3 linked regions of the Mus musculus genome follow. The protein of the gene in region 1 purifies or fractionates together with the protein of each later gene. This does not show direct contact. Links are inferred from orthologs where the notes say so. Each region holds a gene or a part of one and is shown in the gene's direction. Other genes may lie near its edges.

The links. The genes of interacting proteins can lie anywhere in the genome.
Region 2: the proteins of Armc8 (region 1) and Ranbp10 purify together in Homo sapiens (affinity purification with mass spectrometry; 5 studies listed by BioGRID and IntAct, with this or other methods). This does not show direct contact. The link is inferred for Mus musculus from reciprocal best matches to the Homo sapiens genes ARMC8 and RANBP10.
Region 3: the proteins of Armc8 (region 1) and Tceal9 purify together in Homo sapiens (affinity purification with mass spectrometry; 3 studies listed by BioGRID and IntAct, with this or other methods). This does not show direct contact. The link is inferred for Mus musculus from reciprocal best matches to the Homo sapiens genes ARMC8 and TCEAL9.

The regions. Positions count from the first base shown.
Region 1 is NC_000075.6:99,566,092-99,570,127, reverse strand, and holds the start of Armc8 (armadillo repeat-containing protein 8), read left to right. Parts: upstream 1-1,228; 5' UTR 1,229-1,481; coding exon 1,482-1,526; intron 1,527-4,036. UniProt on the Homo sapiens protein: Component of the CTLH E3 ubiquitin-protein ligase complex that selectively accepts ubiquitin from UBE2H and mediates ubiquitination and subsequent proteasomal degradation of the transcription factor HBP1.
Region 2 is NC_000074.6:105,824,407-105,828,452, reverse strand, and holds the start of Ranbp10 (ran-binding protein 10), read left to right. Parts: upstream 1-1,244; 5' UTR 1,245-1,268; coding exon 1,269-1,503; intron 1,504-2,263; coding exon 2,264-2,375; intron 2,376-4,046. Other genes in the region: Tsnaxip1 (translin-associated factor X-interacting protein 1), read right to left, coding at 626-666. UniProt on the Homo sapiens protein: May act as an adapter protein to couple membrane receptors to intracellular signaling pathways.
Region 3 is NC_000086.7:136,243,836-136,247,641, forward strand, and holds Tceal9 (transcription elongation factor A protein-like 9), read left to right. Parts: upstream 1-1,244; 5' UTR 1,245-1,392; intron 1,393-1,865; 5' UTR 1,866-1,931; intron 1,932-2,500; 5' UTR 2,501-2,530; coding exon 2,531-2,845; 3' UTR 2,846-3,304; downstream 3,305-3,806. UniProt on the Homo sapiens protein: May be involved in transcriptional regulation.

The DNA.
Region 1 (4,036 bases):
CTAGAAGATGTATTGCCCGAGTTTCTGGGTGAGGTATAGCTCACACATATAGAGACTATTGTACAATTGTCAATGCTTTTGTGTGCTATATACAATTACAATTTGCCTGGTTGTAGCAGGCATACTAGGACGTGATTTTAGGTGTTACATGGGTGGACAGATGAACATTTAAATGTATTTATGAATGGTAATATGTACTAGAATAAAAAAGAATACAACACATTTGATTTCACAGACTTGATTTAGGACAAGGCTAACAATCTTAAATGGGCTCAATCTGGCTTTAAATAAAATTACTGAATGAGTAATAATTCCTGTGTAAAGAGTGGGAAAGACTGTAGTTACAGAGCTTAGGATATACCGCTACAGCACCAGGGTTCTCTTAAACTTCCAGGCTTTCAGAAGTGCAACACTTTGTAAGAGACTTATAAGCAAGGGTGATAAGTGATACAATAAATGTAGACATTAAAGTACAGGAGGAAATGAGAAACAATGGGAGAGATATGCTTTTACTTAAAGAGCACTGGGAGGTGAGTGGAGTTGAGGTAACAACCTGAATTAGGGATGGCTTTACTTTCAGAATATTTTAGTAGGAAACATTCACATAGTTTAATTCTCCATCCCCCATTTGACCTAAAGGCTGGAAATAATTCTAACACACAGACAACGTAAGGCTTTCCACATTCCAGGCATTTTTGTTGTTGTTGTTGTTGTTTATTGGGCCATTTATTCTCATTAGTCCTTATTTTACAGTCGGGAGAAGTGAAATAAATATAAAGAGGCTAAGAACCTTTCCAAAATATTGGCACTAACGAAAAGCAGCTAGGATTAAATCCAGGCGTCCTGGCTGTGGAGAACCCGTTCTTACCAATATACCAGAGTAAGTGGGTCGGGCACGCAACGCTAAATAAAGCAGGTCATAGTTAACTGTTGAAGCGTGAGGCGATTTTCATTGCAGGCAGAAGACCTAGTTTTGAGACCAGTTTCTCCAGCTTTAAGAGGGAGAGAATACTGAAACTAGGGAATGGTGTAGAGTGAGATAATGAATGTGAAAGTGAACTTCAGACTCCGTAGATAGTAACTCCACCTACTAGCGGTTAGGAAAGAAAACCTGTAAACTGAAATTTAAGAGTGCGGACAGCTCGTCGAGCCAGGGTGAGGCTCCGCCCCCCACCCGCGGAAGGTGGGGCAGGCAGGCTTCTGCGCATGCGGAGGCCGCTGCCCGCGCCCACCTCTGACCCCAGCCGAGAGTAGCTGCTGTTTCTGAGAGGACGATTCGTAAGCCGGGGTCCGGCGCGGTTTCCCAATCCCTCGCCCTTCTGCCCAGCCCCTTCGGTGCTCGAGCGACGCCTGGGGCGCGGTCTGTTCTGGGCAGCTTGCCTGGGCTTTCTACAGAGGCTCCGGCTGCAGGTCACATAGGTGGCTGTCGAAAGTGCCGGCCGCGCGCCGGCGCCGGCAGCAGCCGGGTGGGAAGGCTCAAGATGGCGTGCCTGTTGGAGACCCCAATCCGCATGAGCGTCCTCTCGGTGAGTGACCCGCCCGGCGCGGGGCAACCCCGGTCCTGCCCACAGCATTACCCCGGCGCCCTGAGCCTCCCGAGCACCACCCACTGCGGTGGCCTCAGCTGGGATGCACGCGACCCGGGCCGAGTCGGAGGCGTCTCCTACTCGAGAGCTCCCACCGGTGCGGGTTCCCAGGACGGCGGCCGTTCGGCCGGCGGGGAGGTCGGGCTCCAGGCAGCCGGCCCATGGGCGCGGCTTGGGTTTGGCCGAGCCTTCTCCCGTCTTCCTCCCTGCGCTGTTGCTTCTCGGGACGGAGCTCGCTGCCTGCGAGGGTTCAGGACAGGCCTGGAACCTAGAGTCCACTTCGCTCTCCAGGGCTGTGGCTAGAAGAGGTGCGAACTCTTAAGCTGCCACAGCACAGAGCTGCCAGACCAGGGCTGTGCGTCTTCTGTCAAGTCCCTACCACCAGGGCACCTGCCAACACCGCTTGCTTCTTGGCAATGGAGGTTTTCACATCAGCTGCAACTCGCGCTATTGTGTATGGTTATTTAAACCGCTTTGCTGTGCTCTGCTGTTGAGGTCCGGGCTCCGAGACTAGAGAAACTATGTTTCTAATGTCCGGTGTTTGATTTTTCTTTAGGGAGAGCAAAACATTTTAGGAGGGACCAAAAAGTCGGAATGAAAAAGAATAGGTTCCCCCAGTATTTGAAAGAAGGGAACGTATTGATATACCTAGAAGAAATATCAGGGTTTTTTTTTTCTTAAATTAAAAAGAAACAACAAAAAGCAAAGAAGGCGACTTTCGCCTTCCGCTATAATGTCCTTTAAACAAACAAACAAAAACAAAAAACAGGACCAGGAATGAAATGAACAAGAATGAGTGTTGTTGGGAGATAACTCTGGGAGGTTTGACCACAGATTTTAGCAGTTGGACTCCAAATAGAGCCTACCAATGATTCAGTTGTTGTTGGAAGTAAAGAAATAGGCGGGCAAAGAATCATCTTTTAGACCTGTGGAGACTTACCGAGATGGCAGTTGGATTATAGATGGCTTGTCAGATTCCCTATAGTCTTGCAACTCCAACCGGTTTCTTTCCTCTTCCCTGACTCTCACACAAACACACTTTTGTGTTCAAAGGCACTAGGTACATCACTCCAGTCAGGGCTGGTTAGAGCCATGCTGGCTACCCAAAAAGACAGAAGTCACTCTACAGTGCAAAATGCAATTTTGGAAGACGGTCAACAAATCTAGCCCCAGATCCGTCTTACTAAACTGTTTACTTAAACTGCAACTGGAGAAGTACTTTCTGTCCAATTACTGATCACATTAGCTCATTATTTCACTTTATATTGTCCATGAATGTTTAGTGGGAGAATAAACCGATGACTTCTCTCTTTGCATTAAAAGGAGAAAAGAATGTATCGTAACTGCTCAGTTTCTTTCTGATTGTGCCATTTAGGTTGCACTTATCCTATAGTTCACCTGAAAAGACGTGTGCGAGTGCACATACACACACATAGGTGATCAATCCCAGACCTTTGAGCACGCTTGAAAAATGCTGTTCCAAAATATTGCTCTGGCCTCACGTGTGGTTTCTTTGCCTTTTGTATATTGTCAGCTTGTATAGTGGATATAGTTGAAAACTTCATTTGTCTCACACTCCCAATAAATGATTATGTTCTGTTTATTTCACTCGAAAACTTGTTGAAGAATATTTTCCATTTTGAGTTAGACTTTTCTTTAGCATTTGGAAGCAGAAACTAACTCTAAAGTCTTGTTTTCTAATTCTTCCACCTTAGGGCCTTGGAATAGGCAGAGCTTTAGACACATGATTTAAAATGTCTGAACTTGGTGATTTTCCCAGTTTAAAGGAAAGGTTCTAACTTTCAACCAGCTAACCAAAGCTTATATATATTTATATTTATATTTATATTTATTTATTTATATATATTTATATCAGTTATTAGTTAGAAGTTATTGGAAGTTGAGGAGATGGCTCAGTAGGTAGATCTCTTGCTTCACAGCAGGTCTTGAGTTAGGATCCCATTACCTACATAAAAAGCTGTGTGTGGCAGTGCATGTCATTGGGAGGTAGATCATGGAGGGTTTCCGGCCAGTTTGTCTAGTCAGAACAGGGAGCTTCAGGTTCAGTGAGAGACCCTGTTTCCTTTTTTTTTTTTTTTTGAGACAGGGTTTCTCTGTGTAGCCCTGGCTGTCCTGGAACTCACTTTGTAGACCAGGCTGGCCTCGAACTCAGAAATCCGCCTGCCTCTGCCTCCCGAGTGCTGGGATCAAAGGCGTGCGCCACCACGCCTGGCTGATGAGACCCTGTTTCAAAAAGTAAGATAGAAACAGGAAGGTGCCAGACCTTGACCTCTGACACATAGTTGGTTGAATCCTCTAATAAGCTACTTACTGTGTCCTAGTGAAGCATAAAGCATAAAGCCCTGTATTGTGTACTTTAGCAATGCAAGGGCATCAGAAATGCTCTGAAGGAGTTCACAGTTCTGATCACACTAGAGCTGTAAGTTGAC
Region 2 (4,046 bases), on another chromosome or scaffold:
GATTATGCCTTTGATGGGAAACAGTTGTCTCTTTCAACCTGCTGCTGCCTGTTTCTCGGAGACTTTTTTTTTCCTTCAGGGACAATCATAACATTGGTATTTTCTGTCCTTGGAACCTCTGTAGGCTTATTATTATTATTTTAATTCATTTATTTTAAGATGGGTCTCTCCATATAGCCCTGACTGTCCTGCAACTCTCACTGTTCAACAGGCTGTCCTTTTGTAGCCTTTTTCTACCAAGGCAGCAGACCTTGAAAGATTAGAGTTGAGAATGAAATCACCTCTCTCGCCCTTCTTCCACTACTGGGAATGAGCAGGTGGGAAACTGAATGCTTCTTATAAACAGGAGTTGTGAGAATTTCACATATAATTATAATAAGGCACTTCGTTTTTTAGTGTCTAGCTAAGATCATCTATCTACGATAAAGTACACCTGCACTTTTGGCAGCTTGTAACGTTCTTACTGGACTGACGAGTCAGCCCCAATTCTATTACAACTGTATCGCTGATTCTGCGGCGCTGAAGTCCTACCCAAAGAACAGACAGTGCAGCGATCGGAATCAGTGTCATTTTTCTTTTTGGAAATATTCAAGTCTTCCCCGCCCTCAGCCCGGCCAGGTGCTACCTTGGCTTGGAGAAACTTTTACGCTCCTGTAGGTTGGCCATGACTTTGGAGCAGATGCAGGATTGAGCCGTTGCGGTAGTGTACAGTCCGTTGCCATAGGGACCAGACCCCAGCAGCCTCTGCGTTGAGGGCGGGCTCACAGTTGAGCCACGCCTCCAGCCCCCGCCCCCGTGAGCACTCTGGAGAAAGGCCAAGCAGTAAAAGTAGACCTGGAGCTGGGGATGGGGTATTCTGAGAACCAGTCAATACAGCAAATTTGATATTAGCTACAGAACTGAGGCAGAAGAATAAAGTGAGACCGTGGACGAGGAAGGCGAGCTTCGAGGTCTGGCCACTTGGCCAGTCGGGAATGGTAGTTCTCAGTGGTTCGGAGTCTTCGTTGTACTGGCTTGTGAGTGAGCAGTGATGTACTACATCTTCCGAAGTTCTCCAGGAACCCTCGTTGGCCGGCTTCTACAGCGCTATGCATTGTGGGATATGTAGTCTAAATCTGGCGAAGTATAGTAGTGTCCAGAGAAAGGTTGCCGGGACTCGGACTCAGTTTCCCTACGACCCTGGGATGCTCACGGCCCATTGGCTGAGCAAGGCAAATCTGGTTGCACTCCTCCCCGCCCCCAGTGACACAATAGCAGCTCCCTCCAAGATGGCGGCGGCGACGGCAGACCCGGGAGCTGGGAACCCGCAGGCTGGGGACTCCTCCGGTGGGGACTCCGGGGGCGGGCTACCGTCACCTGGAGAGCAGGAACTGAGTCGGCGCCTGCAGCGCTTGTACCCTGCGGTTAATCAGCACGAGACGCCGCTGCCGCGCTCCTGGAGCCCCAAGGACAAGTACAACTACATCGGCCTCTCCCAGGGAAACCTCCGTGTCCATTACAAAGGTATCAGCGGGTCTGGCCGCTGGGAGACAAGTTTACTGCGTCTGCAGGGAGGCTGTGCCCATTTTCCCTTTCTTTGCCCGGGTTTTCTGAGAGTTGGGCCTTAGCCCAGCGGAACGTCCAGAGTAGAGGGGTTGGTCAGGCCGGGGTTTACCCTGCTTCCTTTGCTCTGTTCCTAAATATTAGACTCAGAGACAACTGCATTAAATGTCCAAAACTAGACAGGACCTTCCACTTCAGGGCCACCCTTCTTTCCTGAGCTGGCTCCAATTTATGCTAGGCCCTTTACCACGGCTTAGTTTCAGTCTTTTTTTTGCAAAAAGAGGTGGTAACATTGCCACAGTAAGTGCATGGGCTGCCTGGCTGCCAGTCATCCCGGGACTGGGCTAGGCGCTGTGTGCTAAAGTTGTTGTTGGTGACTTCCATTTTTGCCACTTCCTTCCCCTGGGCTCCAGGCTGGGCTGTTTGGATTCTGGAGAGACGGACAACAGTATTCAGTGTCTCTCACACACTTCTGTTGCCTGTATCTACCTTGTTTTGTTTGTTGTGGAGGACAATATCTCTGTCAGGACTGTTGGTCTGGGGTGGAGATGATCTAAAGGCGGGAGGCTTAAGTGTTTACTCAGTTGTCTTATTATTCCTCAGAGAGTACAAGAACTTCTTCTGGCCAGGGAGGGTTGAATTTACCATGGCGTAGAGAAAAAGGAGGCCTTCATTTGCGTTTTTCTGGTGTTGACATTCCTTCCTTGGCTTCTTACATCAGGTCATGGCAAAAATCACAAAGATGCAGCCTCTGTACGTGCCACCCACCCCATCCCAGCAGCCTGTGGTATTTACTATTTTGAAGTAAAGATTGTCAGCAAAGGAAGAGATGGGTAAGCCTACTTAACTATCCCTTTCCCTCCTCAACATAGGACTGATGTTCCCCGTTGTCAGTGTTTGAAGCTCCTGAACTAGTATCAGGGACTGATATTAGCCTGCTGACCTACTTGGATCCGGGCTACCACTCCTCTGACTAGAGACACGATCTGGTCTGAACAGTGAGTGGGCTTTGAGAGCAGTGGGCACATTATAGGTGGAGCGGAGGGCACTTTTTTTTGTATTGTAATTAGATAGTCATAGATCGGGGTTGTAAGTAACAAGGTTACATTAACAATTCAAAGGGCAAGTGGGGTTTCCCCTGCTAGCATGTGGTGTTTGTGACTTCCCTTGTTTTCGAGGTTGAGGTTCCTTTTTATGGCACTGAGACAAGGAGAGGCATCAGGAAGCTTCAAAGGGACAGCAGAGTCTGCGCAGCTCTCTTCAAAGCTGTGGCAGCCACTGTCATCTGGATAAACAGTGTTCACACAGTCAAAGTCAGGTGACCTTGCTGCTCATAAACTTGTTTTTCAGTCCAAGGACTTGAACACCAGTTGGACCAGCTTTAGGAAGGTCTTATTAAAGTCAGCATTAGGGAGACTCCCTATTTTAGGGTGACCTAAGCAGACACAAGGTATCAGAGGGGACATTTGTCCTTCTCTTCCTTATTCCTCCAGTCTCCTTAATCCATCTAGTAATTGTCACAAAGCAGATGTCCCAAGCTACTCCAGAATGTGACTGTAACTATTTTGGGACAAGCTTTCTTTTTTTCCCTTCTTTTTTTTTTCCTCTCTTTCTCTTTCTCTCTCTCTCTCTCTCTCTCTCTCCCTTCCTTCCTTCCTTCCTTCCTTCCTCTCTCTCTCTCTCTCTCTCTCTCTCTCTCTCTTTCTTTCTTTCTTTCTTTCTTTCTTTCGTGGGGTTTCTCTGTGTAGCCCTGACTGTTCCGGAGCTTGCTCCATAGACCAGGCTGGTCTTGAACTCAGAGAGATCTACCTGCCTCTACTTCTGCCTCCTGAATGCTGGGATTAAAGGTGTGTGCGATCAGCACTACCATCACCCAGCTAAGGGATAGGTTTTCTTAGGTCTATTATGGGAGGATTGCAAATCCTACCAGTGGCATTCATGTGGACCTGAGTGTGTGTTTTTAAGCTTTTAGATAACTTTTGTCTCCTAACAACTGTCTCACTTATGTTGTGTGCAAAATGCCAGGTTTAGACGCTGAGCCTGAACTGAGCATGGTGTTGCAAGGCTGTAATCCCAGCACAAGTAGGGTGGGGTGGGGAGAAAGCAGGCAGATCTCTGTAGAGGCCAGCCTGGTCTACAAAGTGAGTTCCAGGACAGCCAGGATTATTTCATTAGACCCTGTCTCAAAACAAAATAAAAAAACAAAAAGGCTGAGTCTGGGCAGAACTGTTGGGATCGGAGCCTTGAATGTTTTCTTAGTGACTTTGTGACATCCTGGCCTTGGAGGGGCCTCGGACTTGAGTACATCTTGGGGCTTGAGTCTCATCACAGTCATTCTGGGATCTAAACTGCCTTTAGCCTTAACATTCAGTGACTTTAGAATTTTAATCAAGGGAATCTGTCGCATCTTTAACTTTCATTCCCATCTGCTTCATTTGCAGATAGAAAACTTACATTTGCTGGAAGACTTAAGATTAATATTTCTCTCTACCATCAGATAAAAC
Region 3 (3,806 bases), on another chromosome or scaffold:
TGCTATGTCTACATGTAAAATTGAGCAGAAATCTGACTCAAAGGTTAAGATGACCAAACAGAAGATACAGTTTGAAAGCAGCAATGCCAAGTTTTAAAATATATTTTTTAGACATTTTAGACACTTACTAGGTATATGTAACCAAGTGAGCAGCCAATACTTTCACCTATAGAGGCTTTTAAGTCCTTAACCCAAGCAACCATCATCATCATAAAACTAGCAACTTGACTAGTCAAGTTTAAAGTTTAATTTAAAGTCAAGTACAAGATAAAGAAGCTAGAGTCCTCCTGTTAAAGGGGAACATAATTATACTATATCCAGTCTCACTCCAGCGTGAGTGAGATATGCATATATATGAAATAAAATGGGAATAAGTAAATGTTGAAAGTTTTCTATGAGCTAAGCGATTTAGAGCAGACACATATTGTTAAGACAGTCCAACAATTCGTGGTGTATATAAAGTGTTACTTTCTTTAAGATGAGGCGACTGTTTTCGAACAATCTATGCTGGCAAGTGTTGAAGCAGCGATTCTTCAGGCGACACCACTTCTTGGTAATAATACCACCAGCAGGCCTCTAGAGTTAAACATGATTTTTCTTCTTTTTAAATAATTCCCCCAAGTAACACCACAATATAATAAAAAATGTAAAGGCATATACTTTGAATGCATTTACTAAAAAACACTAGGCACTAGTATAAGAAATGAACATGTATGAATTCACAAATGTATCTAAAGTAATTTGGCTGTCACTTCTGACTGTAAAACAACATTACTTTCGAAAAGACTACAGACGTATTAAGAATAAAGTTTAAGTTGCCTTAAAGAAAAATCCCACTTCTATTTCAAGATTCCCCCTCTCCCACTGCTTTCTGACCTACCTACCTGGCTCCACAACAAAGGAGTGCGTTTCAGATGAAGGAGGAGGGGCTAAGGAAAGCTAGGTGGGGGGTGAGTGGTACTGGCAGTTAGGAGCGTGAGACAGGAAGAGCCTATTATTAAAAGAAGCCGAAAAGTTCCGTAGCTTCAAAAAATATGACGCTCCTCTTTAGTAATCAGAGAGCTGCAAAAAGAACAACAACAATAAAACCAATCCGCACATTCTTTTTTTTTCTTCCTCCAGAAAAGACTGACAAGGCCAAATGAATGTTTAGAGAGGGGGTGGTAGATGGGAGCGGAGGGCGGGGCCACATCTGCCGCGCTTTTTGTGGGAGTGGAGATCGGGGACCGGACCTCACTGGTGACGTAGATCTCATGTGACCAGGAGTCGACGTGTGCAGAAATCCTGCTAGTCTGGTCCTTGTTTCCATCTGGGTACCAGCTCCCTTTAGCCTTGCAGACGGTGGTGCGAGAGGCCAGCGGCCAGAAGAGACAGCTTGCTTCAATTCATCAGGTTAGTGTTTTAAGCCGTTACTGCCAAGGATTTTTGTAGTTTACAGTGGTCTAGGGTAGTGACTTGAGTCCTGGTTAAGTCTGTCCCTCCACCTCGTACCTTTAATTCTTCAGGAAAGGACACTTGTGAAACGACTAGGGGGTCCCAAGAGAAAACAAGGGGGGCTGTGACGATTCCAAAATAATCATACTCTGAGATTTTGGACCCCCACTTTGCTTCCCAAACCTCGTCTCGGATCTACAGATAGTTGGGGAAGAATAGCTCCTTTTTACCCTCTGTCTGGTGAGAAAGACAGGCTAACTTGCGGGGTGGGAAGGAGGAGTCCTTTGGGAAACAAAGGGTGGGAAACTTCCATAAGCAAGCCCTTAAATGCGGAGAGCTCGGCGAGCTGGGTCCGTGGTAGTGCTCTGCTGAGCACCGAGGGCTTGCTTGCCCCACCCCCAACATCCCCTCCCTTCTCCGTTTGCCTGCAGGTTTGTTCTTTGTACCGCACCAGGCTAAAATAAGTAGGAAAAAGAAATCGACCAGATCTGTACCTGGTAAGTGAGGGGGAACTTTATAAAAGACTCCCCCAGGATATGGGTCGGTGAAGGCCTGCAGAGGCTGAAGGCCCCAGTCCCCTCTCCCTTCCCCCCACCCCTTTCGGAGGGGCCTGTGTTAGGCCTGGGAGGGAGAAAGATTTGTGGAGGGCTGGGGCGGGAGGCGGGAAGGAAGGCCTTGGAAAATGCTGGAGGGAGGGACTAGAGAGGGGAGGGGGTGGAAAATGGAGGTAAGAGGGGCGGGGACAGGGAAACCTTGATTGCGGACTGGGTTTCTCAGGTGGAAGGTATCTGGTGAGGGCAGTTAGACCGAACGAGGGTGGGGGGAAGAGAGGAGGGGAAAGAGGGAAGTGGGGAGAGGGAGAGCGGGAGGGGGCAAGAGTGGACGGAGGGGGGGTGGGATGGGGAGGGCGTAAGCAAACGGTGAGGAGACCTTTGTGCACAGCACCTGCCCATCTACCAAGTCTTCCATCTACCACCACCTCCTCCTCCTCCTCCTCCTCCTCCTCCCCCTCCCCCTCCCCTCCCCCCTCGCTTCCTAGAAATCATTGCATTCCCGTATTCTGCAGGAAGCAGCAAAGAAGAGAAGCAGACACAAGATGAAACCCTGCCAAAAAATGGAAGGAAACCTAGAAAAGGAGGATGAGCCAAAGCCTGAGGAAGAGCCAAAGCCGGAGGAAAAGCCCGAGGAGGGGCAGGAACCCGAGGAGGAGGAGAAATCCGAAGAAACTTTTCGGGAGAGGCTGATCCGGTCTCTGCAGGATTTTCAGGAGGATATACACAACAGGCACCTGAGCAGTGATGATCTGTTTAGAGATGTGGAGGAGCTAGATGAGATCAGGAAAGTGAGAAACAAACTTATAGTGACGCGTTGGAAGGCTAACCGAAGCCATCCTTACCCCTATTTAATGTAGCTTGGCTTGCTTTCCCTTTTATCTGATGTTACCATTGCGATCTAGCTTTCTTTTCATTAGCATTTTCCTGATAAGACCTTTGCCCATCTTCCTACTTTGAATCTGTTGCTGTTAGTGGCTTTAGCTGTATCTCTTGTTGTCTGTATCTTACTGTTGATTATATTTGAACCAATCTATAAGTCTCTGGCTTTAAGCTTTACTGATTTGTAAAAAAAAAAGAAAAAAAAGAATAACAAAATGAGCTTCTGATGGGATACAAAATGAGAAAAGGTTACAAAATAATATGGGAATATCATATTTTGAAAGACAGGAGTACCTTTGTATGTTACATATATGCACATATAAACTTGTGAAAGATGAATGATTTTTCTTCTGCTTATTTGTATTTGCCATATTCCTAAAATGAACACGCATTATTCTTGCTAAAAATAATAAAGGTTTTATAACTAAAAATAAGAATCCAACAGCCCATCAATTTATTTTTAAAACTCCTGAGGCGCTTGTTATTCATTGACAATATGAGAACTACCGAGTTAAAAGATTAAAATTCACAACTCGTCTCATACGCAATAATAAACATAACTGTGGTGGTCACATGCGCTGCAGAGCTGTTCAACGGGGCTTTATCCCCATTTGCTCGTGCAGGAGGCTCCAAATGCTAGAGCTTTCTTTCTGCTATTGGGAAGCATAGGAAAAAGTAACAAGCTCAAGCAACAGTTAGGTGAGTGCTCCATAGTTCTTCCTGCCTGTCTAGACTCCCATCGAGCTGCTTTCGATACTTGCGTGGTTATCCAGTCCTTGCACATTTCTGCAAATTTCACTTCCCTGGGATCTTAACTTATTTCCTCTTATAAGATTCCAAGAGAGAACAGGCTCATGTAAGAGTCTGACCAGAACAGGAGTCTTAACAATTTAGGCTTTCACAGGATCTCTTTTCTGGATGTGAAGATGCCATTTGGTA